Mytilus edulis: one gene and its partner. The protein of the gene in region 1 interacts with the protein of each later gene in a pairwise test. Links are inferred from orthologs where the notes say so. Each region holds a gene or a part of one and is shown on either strand. Other genes may lie near its edges.

Region 1 (7,078 bases):
TACTATGAAAAGATAAAGAATAAGTGAATAGCCCATCGTCATCAGACAAGTGTAATGCTTCAGGCAGTGCATTCTTTTTTGTTATTCATTTTTTTTGTATATATATATACATGTACCAGTTATCTTATTATAATTAATCATTTTCAATTATGTTTGGTATATGGACAGAGTGTAAGGTGTACATATCAGAATAGCAGGTTTTATTTGACTTTGATCTCTTTTCGTGGTTTATTGGTCAATGTTAAGTTTCTGTGTTATGGTCTGTTTCTTCGATACAAAAAACAATGGGTCCACTATATTTGGTAAATTAAATGATTGTTATGTGTACATATAAAAAAGAAGATTGCCAATGAGACAACTCTCCACAGGAGACCAAAATGACACAGAAATAAACAACTATAGGTCACCGTACGGCCTTCAACAATGAGCAAAGCCAATACCGCATAGTAAGCTATAAAAGGCCCCGAAATGTCTGTTTGGCAGAGTTCATCAGACCTTGACATACTTTTCATGGTCCATTAGACAATTTTACGTTTTCATGGTTATAATGTCTTTTTTTCAAATACTATATGTATAGGGATGAAAGTGGCATTAAACACCAAAATACCAATAAAATCAACCATCGTGTATTTCAGACGTTTCCTACACCTATTTTGGTTTGGTAAACAAGAATTTATGAACTGGAATTTTAATTTGACTAAAGTAATGTTTTGCAAAACATATATGTTACTATCTTATTGTATTATGACTGATATATTTGTCATTGGACATGATGCAGCGTCATCAAATAAAACGTCTTTTTGAATGCCTTGTATATAGAATCTTTTAATTGGAATTTCAAATTAACTAAAGCAATGTTCTGCAACACATTTATGTTGCTATCTGTATGTATTATGATTAATGTATTTGTCGCTGGACACGAAGCAGCTACATCAAATGAAAATTCTTTATGAAAGTCTTGTGGATTAGATACATTTATTGAGAAATATTCTATAATGATAGCTATACATTTTGTAAAAAGAGGTACATGACAAATAAGTATAACAAGACTACGATGTAGGATTGCAAGGGTTATAAGCATGATATGTTGGGCCTACGTTTTTTAAAATATCTTTTATCTACATGCTAGTTTGTTTTATGTTATGTGTACATGTTATATGTCTTACTTCTCCCTTCCCTGATACTAATGAGGGGCCTGATTTGAGGGGGGGGGGGGGTCTCATCACGATTCACGAGTTGATTTTTTTTTCAATCACGATTCACAGAAAATAAGTTTCCATGATCACGGATCACGAAAATATAAAAAAAAAATCTGTAGAAAAACGGCTCACGACAGGCCTGAAATGCGCCGATCAAGAAGAATGAAAATAACCCATCAGGTCCCCGGATCACTACTTTACAACACATGTTGAAATAATCTCAGCTTCATCTTATATGAGAGTCTATATGGGGTTTAGAGAACTTAGTTATGAATAATGGCAAAAAAAAATGAAGAGAGAAAAAAATGGCAAAATATTAAAGGATAGAGAATAATCATGTGGTAAATTGAAACGGTGGAATTACAAAGTAAAATAAAAGAATTAATTTAAAAAAGACAATACTGATTACAAAAATAAATGTTGTACAAAATAAAAAAAATCATCTAATTACAGAACACATCTTTTTTCATCGGATACACTTAGAAGGAATTAAACGTCTTATTTTTAAAGATAAAGAAAAATGCCCCAAACAGTTAAAGAAGTTTAGAACCTCCCCATCAAGATGCTCTTATATGATAGGCCTATATCAGTCAGATAAATAGCTTATTTTTTCTATTGATATAGCGAGAGACATAATATATCTATAGATATATGTGTGTGCAGATTCTTGTCTCCGAAAAACACTCCGTATATATATTTAAAGGCACATATTAGCTACGACATATATAAAAAAAATCTAGTAAGAATTGTGTTTGTTCAATCATTACTAAAAGTAAAATAGTGAAATAATAATTCGCCTTGAGCAGCCAATTTGGGGTCAAGCTTGTCAAAATAAGCACATAAACATCACTGGTGAATTATTCACTTGGAAGGGAGTGATTCGGCCTTATTGAACCAGTACTGATATGAGTTAAGCGCCGTTATAGCCGGAGATGGGTTACGTAGCTCAGTATTAAAATGAAAAGAATCAGTGTACAGGCGCGTAGCAACCCGTACGCAAAAACGCAGTTGCGTACACATCGAAAATTTGACAAAAATAAAAATATGATAAATCTAGTTAGAATAAAACTTAAGTAATAGAATTAATTATAAAGTGTTATAAAAATATGTTAATAGTCACTTTGTAACTATATTTCGTTCCGGAAACTAGTTTTCTCTTTACATTTTCGGGACCAGCATCGTGATTGTGCTGCTGATGCAAACAATTAAAATAGCTGAGTCCTCGGGGTTTCAGAATACAATAAGTGCGTCTACTATGCCTCCTTACCCTGAAATATTTTCTGAAGATTTCAAAATGACTGATGAAATAAAACGTGATGTTCTATAATAGGGCAATATTTTTGCAACCTATTCGCCGTTTTTTTTTTACGATCAACGTGTTTTTTACTTGTTTATCTTATGTTCGGTCCTGCAAGATGGGTGCCTCGTCCATTTAATTATACGTGTCTTGAGATTAAAAGTGCTTATTCTCCATGTGCAAAATTTTAAGTCCTTGTTTTCCTTGCTTTGTTAAAATTAAACGATCGTTTTTGGAAGTTGATAAAAAGAACTCAGATTTAGTTTTGAAGTTTTTCCTTGTAGATTTTGGGACTTTAAAAGTATTTATACAAATGTAAAGTTAAAGGTTTCCAAACTATGATGTTATAAACAAGGATTTATACCCGGAAATCTTTAAAATACTTAACATATAATATGCATGTATGTCGGTATGGACGACAACGATAGAACACTCTTTCAGTACCATGAGACGACTAACGAAATACAATGAAATCCATTCCGTTTATCTGGGCTTGTTCTATTGAACATATACCACGAAAAACAAATTTTAACAGACACGGTTTTGGATAACTGGAAAGGAAATGGTCATTGTTTCAGAACTAACTTTGAAAATTAAAAGCTAAAAGAAAGACTGCTTGTTCTCTTATAAAATAAAACAGAGAAATGTGATTCGATTTATTTATGTATTTTCTCAATAAAAAAAAATACCCTTTAAGGCTTAGAAATTTGGATTTTCTCAGTGAATGAATAGTAGGTTGAGACTGATTAGGTAGCAATTAAAATATATGGTGGTGACACTATATATTTTAATTGTTACCTAATATATAAATAAGCACTACCCACTACACATTAGAAGTTTTTTTTCTCTATTTTTTTTTCAAATTTAATTATTTTCAAAAGTTGACTTGTTACTCATGAAAATAAGATTTCTGTGAGGTCATTTTCAGTCCCAGGAAATCGCGAGAATGCAGGATTTTGCACCATTTACTCTAGAGCTTCTGTGGCCCCAGACTCCTCGCCGTATGACTTCTTTCCCCGGCATTGCGTACACATCATTTTGGCCTAGCTACGCCCCTGGTGTAAACATTGAAAGTGAAACCATTTGTTTCACTGAATCGATCAACAAAAAATCATCATTATTCAGGTAAAAACGTTCAAGGTGATAAACATACCTTAAACCTACATTATGAAATCTAATAGACCTAGAAAAACTAATTGCATGTGGTCGTTATCTATTTATAAGTTATGGCAATGGGGTTATATGACCGTTGACAGTCCTCGGGGTCATCTCGATGAGGTACTATAGTATAAACAAAATTATACCGTGACGAAATGTTGATGCATACACTGAAGTTTATAACAAGTCAATTCAGTGTTAATTGTTTATCAAAGTTTACGGAGACATTTTATGATTGGATACTTTGATTCGTTGTAGGATGTTATAGATCAAATATGAGAACTTGGGTCAAGTGAACATGAATTTACAGCCAATGTCTCTTTAAAAAGTTAACCATTTGGATACTGAGGAATTTATGACCGGAAACTTTTCATCGCTGTTTCTAACAAATTTGTTTTTATACTGACAATTCTATAAATAGAATTTAATTGTCACGTGATGATAACAAAATGGCAGCAGAAATAAAGCCATCACAAAATAAGCAAGGAAACACAAGAAAACCTGTTCTAATAAGTAAATTAGAAGGTTTTCAAGATGACGTCAATATGGCAGTTATAATCCCTCGGGAAGACGGAGTTGTCACTGTCAGCGATGATAAGTAAGCTGTGCTCAAAATTTGACAGGTGCCCGTTGTGTACATTGTTCATTATAGCCAATCCAATCCGGAAGCTGTTGCTACCAAGTACAAGCATCGTCACCATTTACGCCTCTTGTTACAAATCTAAATAAACTTGATGCTTTTGCCTTGAATAACACTTATTAAACCTACTGTACCGTGTTCATTTGGTTTTGATAAAAAAAAATAAGGGGTGGGTACTGTTTTCAAAGTTATGCTCATTGATGCTTTTAGCCTTTATGATTGTTTGTATGTCTATATATACAAATGTATCAGTTTTATTAATGTTTGTCACTGTGAGACATAATTGTTCAGTGACATAATAGGTTCGCCATAGGACATTTTAACCACTGTCCTTATTTATTTGATTTTTTGTATGCCTGCACCGTTGGGCAGCGTAGCAAACTTTTACTCTTCTCCCTGCATCCCATAATTGGTTTCTGTTCTCTAACTTTAGTTTGCCTCAACATCATGTTATAAAACTTATACACAATGCCCATGTACACAAAACACAGATCAAGTTTGAGATTTTAGTGGCATCATTTTTACCATTCTCGGGTTATGTCCCTTTACAAATGTAAAAAATGCTGATTTTTGTTTGTTTCTGCTCTCTCATGAACTAATTGAAACCTATAGACAATGCTTAACAGTTCTTGAGTTATGAACCTATATAATGTTAAATTTCTGTAATTTATAAAGAAGTTATGATAAAGATATTTAATGAAAAACAATGAAATTTATGACATCTGACAACCATTGACAAAGTTCCTAACTTGGGATAGGCACTTATCTTAACTATAGTTAAGTTTTATGAAATCTCAACCCTGTCTCCTTAATCTTTACCAGTAGATTGTATGATAGGTACATACAGGAACATACAATAAAAATAAGGAAAGGAAAAGCACTATACAATAAAGCAAAGAGAAATGTTTAAGTCACTACAGGAAGGTTGTGAATGCCAACAAGATTTGCCGTAATCCATTTTATTATCAAACTTTATGGGAAAATTAATCAGGAAGAAATTTTTCTGTTGGTTTAGTTTTTACAGTTTTAATAGACATGTTAAGAGATGCATTGAATCAAAAAGAGACCAAAGCAGAAAGGAAAAGTTTCACTTTTGGCCAAATATGGCCTTGAATTTCGAGTTTGTCATGAATTTTCAGTTTAGATTATTACAATTTCTGGAGAATAATTTTCTGTAGGAAAACTAATAATTTATTCTTAATTTTTTTTTTATCTTCAGGACATTAAGAGTATGGTTAAAAAGAGATACAGGACAGTATTGGCCAAGTATTTGTCACACATTGCCTTGTAAGTTGTATAAAATGAAATATTAGTGTCACTTCAGATTTGACAGGCTTCACCTCTGTATAAATTTGATGTAGCTAACAATGTTCTAGATCTCTTCTAGACTACATTCAGTAGTTAATTCCATCATCCACAATATAGATTAACTAAAACAAATGTGTGTACCAAATAAGAGATACAATGCATGGTGATTGATTGATTGATGACTAATTTTGAATATTTATTCCATAACTTTTGTTGTTCAAATTTGAGAAGGTAAAGGTAAAACTAAAAAAACTAAAAAAATATGAGTTTCCCTTTTTTGGAAGAATGAACAGTTTAAAATCTTTTTAGAAAAAAGGAGATGGGGTATGATGGCCAATGAAATAACTCTCCAAAGGAAACCAAATTACACAGAATTAACAACTTTAGATCACAGTATGTCCTTCAACCATGAGCAAAACCCATACCGCATAGTCAGTTTTAAAAGGCCCAAAAATGGTAAAAGTAAAACAATTCAAACGAGAAATTTAGCAGCCAATAATTGTGTACAAAAACAACTTTAGAAAATTATTTTTGGAAATTTGGCTGACTTTAAAAATCAAAACATGTTACTAAGCGAAAAGTAAGCATTCTTGTATACAAATTTATAATCACTGCATGAATAGGTATGTGTAGATTTTGATTATTGGAAAGCTACAAAAGAAGACTGCCTCTGGCCTTTGTTAGTCTTGTATTATTTTTAATTTTAGTTTCTTGTGTACAATTTGGAGTTTAGTATGGCGTTCATTATCACTGAACTATTATATATATTTGTTTAGTGGCCAGCTGAAGGACACCTCCGGGTGCGGGAATTTCTCGCTGTATTGAAGACCTTTTGGTGACCTTCTGCTGTTGTCTTCTCTATGGTCGTGTTGTTGTCACATTCCCCATTTCCATTCTCAATTTTATTGTTATTTTAAGATAAATGCATAAAATATGATAATTGTTACAGCTGAGGCAGCATCATTAACATACAATGGAGAAACAAGGAGACTATTTGTTGGATTAAATAATGGAACTATTTCAGTAAGTATATGTATCAAATCCTCATATAATGTGCCCATTCAATGTTAAAGTATGTTATTGCGAACCCTATCATAGTTTTCCATAGATTCACCTGCAAGTTACCTGTCCATTTAAACTTTTGTAAGTTCTATTGTCCCATTGAACAAATACAACAGGTATTGTTCTCTGTATAGTTTATTTGATGCGACCTTTAAATTTCTTCCAAGAGAAATCTATCACTCATTGATTAATTTACCTGATTAAAAAAAAATTCTTCCAAATAAATGAAAATACACTTGTAATTGTTCAATATACCCTGGTTGTTGTTTTTTATTCTTCATTCAAAACTGAGGTTTTGTTATGTTTTCATGAAAGGATGTCAATAGTGTATTTATTAGGACAGAAATCAATATAATAGATGCCCAAGGTGTATGAATGTATGTTTTTTGTTTATTTTTCAAATTTTGTAAACCA
Region 2 (7,337 bases), on another chromosome or scaffold:
TAAGAATACACCAATAAGTAGTTTGTATGTATTTAACTTGCTGGAAAAGATATTTTGAAAATTTAACTTTGCCATGGTATTTTGACCCCCCTGCGGTATATTGAACCCCCTACTCTAGACCTTTAATTTCCAAAAATCTGGCAATTCTTACTCTTTTATGTAGTTAGAATTCACCAATAAGTAGTTTGTATGTATTTAACTTGCTGGAAAAGATATTTTGAAAATCTTACTTTGCCATGGTATTTTGAACCCCCTGCGGTATACTGAACCCCCTACTCTAGGCCTTTAATTTCCAAAAATCTGGCAATTCTAACTGTTTTATGTAGTTAGAATTCACCAATAAGTAGTTTGTATGAATTTAACTTGCTGGAAAAGATATTTTTAAAATTTTACTTTGCCATGGTATTTTGACCCCCTCCCCCTTTTTTTACCATGGAAAATCAAAACTACCCTTATATATATATATATACATATGTTATAATTACAAATAATTAAAGCATTCAAGCTACATATGGTCTAGTTATAATGTGTCAGTAAGTATTTTGAATGACATTTTGTTGGTAAAGACTTCAGAGCACTTATACCAAGCAAAGATATTTCTTTTAATTAAGCATTGAAAATGTACCTCCCTTGCTTGTATGAATGATTTTTTAATCTATGATGAGCTTTAGAATAATGTAAAATGTTCTAATATTCATCTAGGATGAAAAAAACAGGGGGGTTCAATTTACCATGGGGGTTCAATTTTCCATACAGGGGGGGTTCAATTTACCATGGGGGGGTTCAATTTACCATAGCGGTATTTTGACCCCGGGGTCAATTTACCATGGGGTTCAAAATACCATATGACACCGGCATAGTCTATGGTCCGCAAATATAAAAAATCATCAAAAAGACCTTAGGAGGGTATCAGGTCCGTTTGCGCCCAATATACTTTCGCACCCTACACGTTCGCACCTCGCACGTACGCACCCAAGGTCCGTTCGCTCTCTACACGTTCACGCCCAATTTTAATTCAAATTCCAGTTGAATAATTGGAAAATCATAGATTGTTGTTTTTAATTGCTTTCGTGTAAATACTGAATATATTTATAGCTTGGTATGAGTAAAAGATTGAAGATTCTGAAACAATAAAATATAGCAATACACTATTATAACCAAAACATGATAAAATTTATTCAACACACACAAAAAAAAAAAAACGTAGTCAGAATCTCACTTCATTTTGAATCAAGTCAATGAAACAAAGTTACAGCAATACACTAACCAAAACATGATTAAGAGTTATTCAACACAAAATTAAACGTTGACAGAATCCCACTTTATTTAGAAAGGAATATCATTTTTATCACAATACACTATCCAAAACATGATTAAGATTTATTTAACACAAAAAAAAATGCTGTCTCACTTTATTTTGAGACAATGAAAACAATAATACTTATAAGAACTATAAAAATTGAAGAACCATCAGAAGTAACCAGGCAGGATATAAAACGTGCAGCAAGAGAAAGTGTTTTAAGAAAATGGCAGAACCAATGGGAATCAAGTCAACGTGGCAGAAATTATTATAACTATCATCAAAAAGTTTGTCAAAAAATACCAAAAGATTTACCATCCAAATGGTCGTTTTCAATTATTACTAGTTTGAGAACAGGTTATTGTGATCTAAATGATTACAAATCCAAAATCATACCATCAACAGACAAAAATTGTTCCTGTGGAGAGCCAGAAACTGTAGAACACTACCTTTTACATTGTTCTAACTATGAGGAGGCTAGAGAGAGGATGAGAACATCTATTTACTTCATAACAGGAAATATACATATGGATTTAGACACCTTTCTAGGAATCGATGAAGAAGACATTAATAGAGACAATCGAAATGAGATATTGTGCCATCTGGAAAATTATTTAACGGAGTCTGGTAGATTCAAAAACACTATACAGTAAAAAACACTATAATTCTAAATCAAAATTAAGTCAAAATTTTTTAAGCAGCAGCCACCATTTCAATTAATTACATGAGTGAACATTACATATGCAGGGCCGTAACTACATTGAGGCAAATGAGGCAAATGCCTCATGTTTGAAATTTAAAAAAAAACCAAAAAAAAAACAACCTGAAACAAAAAGATTGTCAAATTGTTTTGACGGAAAGTGTCAGTCTTGCAAGAAGCCAGTTCTCTTCACTATCTGGTGTAGCCCTTCATGTTTTTCGTGATCCATGTTTCTATTTTACGTTTAGTTATCAGAGTTGATGGTCTATTATTGTGTGTACTTCTATGTCCCGTGTTTGTCTTTTGTTAATTTATTGTCCTACTTAATGACTATAGTCTGAGTGTTGATTTCATTTGTAAACGTGTAGTTTTGCAATGTTGCATGCCAACCGATGTCCAGACAATGTGCGAGAAATTTTAAGAATATATGATGCTACAAGACACAGAAATGAATCTTTGTTTCTGCATGGAGAATTGAACTTGAAATCAAAGAGAACAAAACTGGCTTTTTTCGTAGATAAAACTAGAAAGCTGACATGGTTGAAATTGAAATATGGTTACCAATTCCACGGTATCAAAAAAATTGAAAAAAAAACAACAGCAATGTATTGCCATATGACCTTTTACATTGAAGGGTTACCCTTGCATTAAGTCATGTTCAGACTCTTTTAAGAGAAAAAAAGGAATATTGAGTACACGTGCACGGAACCTAATCGCACACAATGTCAATGTATAGAAAAATACGAATGATCAATTGTTAAAGTTTAATTCCTGTTCTTTATCTTGATAGTTGCTGGATGGTCTCCAACAATAAAAGAATCATTAAAATCGTAAAACAAGATCAAGATGGTCCCTAGTGTCGACTTTAACAGTACTAGTACTTAAAGTATAATACTGCACTGTCACTATATTTAAATCTAGTCATAAAAAAATCACCAAAGTCTAAGTACAATACAAGACAGACAGATTCGGTATTAAGGATTATGAGAATTACGATTTTTGCTTTATTCATCATATATATATCGATCTTTTTTTAATGTTATCCCTAAAACCTGAAAGTCTTAAAATACAATGATTTTTTGTTATTGCTATGAGACCAGAATATTGTTGAAAAAATAGCTCAGAATGCACGATTTTGCATTATTTTTCTCAGAGCGTCTGGGGGCCTTCAGCGCCCCCCCGACTCCTAGCCAAAAATTTTTCGCCTCGCTACGCTCGGCGAATGTTTTGCCTCACTTGTAAAAGAGGCTAGTTACGCCCTGATATGTGAAGAAACTACAAAAGAGGAAACGTAAACAAGTGTTTACAGTGTCATTTGGGACACTTACTAAAGACTAAAGATTGTACTTGCCAAAACTTGATTACAAAGTTATTAAACACAAAACTAATTAAAATTGGGCGCGAACATGTAGGGTGCGAACGGACTTTGGGTGCGAACATGTAGGGTGCGAAAGTGAAAAGGGGCGAACATGAGTGGGTGCGAACGTGAATGGGTGCGAACGGACCCGGATTCCCTTAAGAGCAACATAGCTAATTCCAGATCAAAGATAGGTGCAACTTTGAAAAGAAAGCTGAAAATATCAGATTAGGAAAGAATACAGGATATCTTGTTCCCTAGAAAAAGCTATATCTGCTTCGTATTTCACATGTACCTGTTTTTTCGTTTTCTCTGTTTTTATGATTCTTTTACCGGTTGTTGTTACTTGTTTTCTTGAATGTCATAACAAAGATCGAGGTGTTTCAAACGTTAATATCATTCGGATGCTATTATTGACAAGTAGCTCACACGATTTCAGAAGTGGCTACATCGGATGTCATCAGTAGTAGTACAAAGTTAATAAAAAAAATTGAAACAAAATTTAACCACAACGTACATAAATTTAGGCACTATACAGTTGCGTTCCAGTACTATAATTAAGCTTGATTTGAAATAAAAATTATCATAATATATTTATTTTGATCTAGTATTTATTGTGTAGTTATGTTTTGTAAGAGAACCGTTTTATCATTTTGTTAATTTTTGAAAAGTTGTAGCGTTTTGTTATTTGAAATGCTGTACAAGAATTTGTTGTGCAGTATTTGATTCTATATGGATACAATCTCAAAGTGTATAGTTTTTTAAATTGTTGCTTATATCATAACAAACAAATTAAAAAAATATATATATTCATATTTGCTTAATAAAAAAAATTCAAGCCTTTTGTTTATTTATTTTTAAAAATATTTGTACAAAAATAAAATAAACATAACATGTATTTCACCATTTGTATCAGTGTTGATATTTTAAAGCTCCAAGCGGCCTCTAAATTGACAGCATGGCTGAAGTACAGATTGCTCCTCTCCGTTCCATGAGTGATTTTGTATTGGACTCTGCTAGATTTCAAGTTCCTAACATCAAAGACGCAGAGAAATGGGCGAACAGAGTTCTGAACAATCTATTGTATTACCAGACGAATTATTTTCTGGTAGCTTTGATCGTCTTTTTATTGATTGGGTATGCATACAAAATCATTTAAAAAAAATATTTGTGAAACCGGTTATACTTTTCACCTTTTATATTTGTTTCAACTGATATTTGTATTGTCTTTAAACATGCGATCCAGCGTCTTAAGAAGACTTAACTTGTTAACCAGTCAGGGACTTACTTAAAAGTGATTTTCTAAATCACTGATTCAAGTAAATTGAGTAACAAAAAAAAAAACTAACATTACATTGTATGTCCACAAAGGTTGGAAGTAAGAGTTGTCTTTCTTTAATTATCACCTTTTTCAAGAAGTTCAAATAATCACTACACTACATGGTTTAATCTCATTCAGGGGTTTCATGATCTTTCATGTCGACTGGTACTTTCCCAAGGATCTCCATGGCCTGTTTAACGATGGCGCCCCACCATCGTTCAAATGTCTTGCGCCACTGTCAAATGACTCGCGCCATCGTTATATTGTCTTGCGCCATCGTTAAAATGTCTTCCGCCGTCTTTCAAAACTTCATCGTTTTTTTGTAGCCAGACGCCATTTTTTTATCAATTATAATCAAATGCATGTAATTGCATAACCCTTAGGCTTTTTATGTTATAATCCAATACAGTTCTAACGCCTGAGGGATATCTGGATTAAGATCGCTAATCACTTGTAATGTAACTGAGCTTGTACAGGTACATGTAGATCAACAAACCAGACAGGAGAATACTATCTGAGGATAGACGATCCATTTGTCGAATTAATCAACTAAGTTGCAGCAAATGATTATGATAATTTAGATTAAATAAATAAATTAATAATCCAGTTACAAAGAAAACAGTTTAAAAAGTCGAACACATGCTTTATTTTGACTTACGCAATCAGCATCCCTCTTTTTTAAGAAGTACAAAATAAGACGCAAAACAGTGAATATTATTTCATCGTAAATAACTCGAGTACTGCTGTAACAACAATTTAGAATTACAAGTTTAAAAGTAAAAACTTAAATATTTCCTGTGAAGAAATATCGTATCGCAATTCAGAATTCATTTCGTTTATTACAATCAAATTGATACATACGCGTTTCCGGTTTCTATTCAGATTCGAAAGATGCATGTTTCACAGCATCAATTTGCCAGATAAAGTCATTAAAAACCTTAACATTTGTCAACGTTTGCTTTACAAATCTCTTTAACTCTTAACATAACCCGTACGAACCGTTTTGTTAATTTGTTGCTGCAAATCAGCCATACCGGTAATGGGTTCTGAATTTGACAGTGTCCATGAAAAATAAGCTCCACATCATATGATTTTTAGCCCCCATAACAATTACCAAAAATACAAGAAATCTACATGGGGACCTTCATGACAGCTTTTGGTCATTCTCGACTAAGGGGGGACCATGAAGACTTGGCATTTGAATGGTTAAAAACGGCAATGAATGAAAATATTGATACTTCTAATTCTATAATGAAAGTTCAAATAAATCTATACTATTAAACGAGAAGACCTCATTTTGGGTGTCGCTTCTCTTCCTTCCACAATAAATCAATCATCATGCCTCTGTGTCCTATAGGTAACATGCATAGTCGCATTTGTCATCCATTCTTATGATTATTCAGATTGAGTTATTTTGGGAGAAAAACGACAAAAAAGGAGTCCGGATATGATTCCGTCATCAGACTGACTTTTAGTCATAGATAAGACTTCCGGTTTGAAACATGCACAAACACAACCAATCTTATGATAGATAACAAAAAATGAAAAATAAATAAGCCTATCAAATCGTTCTCCATGTCATGGTGTTTAGATCGCAAGAACCACAACTATTATAATACCTCCTTATAGAGGACAATTATTTTTCGCGTTTATCTACATGTAAACTACAATTATACTACTTTAATATATAGAGACTCTCTGTATTCTGTCTACTGTTTTTCTTTCAATTGTTTACTATTTAAGGGGTCATACCAGTTGCATCTATACTATTAAACGAGAAGACCTCATTTTGGGTGTCGCTTCTCTTCTTTCCACAATAAATTAATCAACACGCCTCTGTGTCCTATAGGTACAGTGCATAGTCGCATTTGTCATCCATTCATATGATTATTCAGATTGAGTTATTTTGGGAGAAAAACGAGAAAAAAGGCATCCGGATAATGTCCCGTCATTGGACGAAATTTTAAGTCAGATTAGACTTCCGGTTTGTGTTTTTCTGTATACATGTACTTTGAACAAATATACAAAGAATAAAGTGTATTTTCAGAATTCTATCTGCTATCATTTTCAAGTTTACTATCTACGGCGATCACAGAGTTTATTAAAAAATAATAATAATAAATAGAGAGGGTCTGTATACTCACGTGTGTTTACTATACCAATGACCACCATGAATCGATTAGTAAACTTAGAATTGAAAGTAAATAAACTATATTTATATAGTTACTGTAATGAATGTTCATAATATACAGATAAGCGCTATAAATATTCATGTGAACTTTTGATACCTTTTCTAAAATTCTCCAGTCATTAAATCTTTTACAAAATTCATTGATTACAAAAGAAAAAGAAGATGTGGTATAATTGCCATGTTGAGACAACTCTAGATAATCGCTAAAAATATTCATGTGAACTTTTGATACCTTTTCTAAAATTCTCCAGTCATTAAATCTTTTCATTGATTACAAAAAAAAAAGAAGATGTGGTATGATTGCCATGTTGAGACAGCTCTCCACAAGAGACCAATATGACACAGAAATTAACAACTATAGGTCACCGTACGACCTTCAACAACGGGCCTTATTTGTGCACAAAAAATGAACGAAAAACGAATATGTAACACATAAACAAACGACAACCACTGAATTACAGGCTCCTT

Evidence for each region. The genes of interacting proteins can lie anywhere in the genome.
Region 2: the proteins of WD repeat and FYVE domain-containing protein 2-like (region 1) and PRA1 family protein 2-like interact in a two-hybrid assay, tested with the Caenorhabditis elegans proteins (2 studies listed by BioGRID). The link is inferred for Mytilus edulis from reciprocal best matches to the Caenorhabditis elegans genes wdfy-2 and praf-3.

Annotation. Positions count from the first base shown.
Region 1 is NC_092346.1:51,581,102-51,588,179, reverse strand, and holds the start of WD repeat and FYVE domain-containing protein 2-like, read left to right. Parts: upstream 1-4,067; 5' UTR 4,068-4,103; coding exon 4,104-4,252; intron 4,253-5,513; coding exon 5,514-5,581; intron 5,582-6,551; coding exon 6,552-6,625; intron 6,626-7,078. UniProt on the Caenorhabditis elegans protein: Plays a role in coelomocyte endocytosis.
Region 2 is NC_092344.1:23,143,788-23,151,124, forward strand, and holds the start of PRA1 family protein 2-like, read left to right. Parts: upstream 1-4,289; 5' UTR 4,290-4,315; coding exon 4,316-4,494; intron 4,495-7,337. Other genes in the region: uncharacterized protein, read left to right, coding at 1,426-1,953.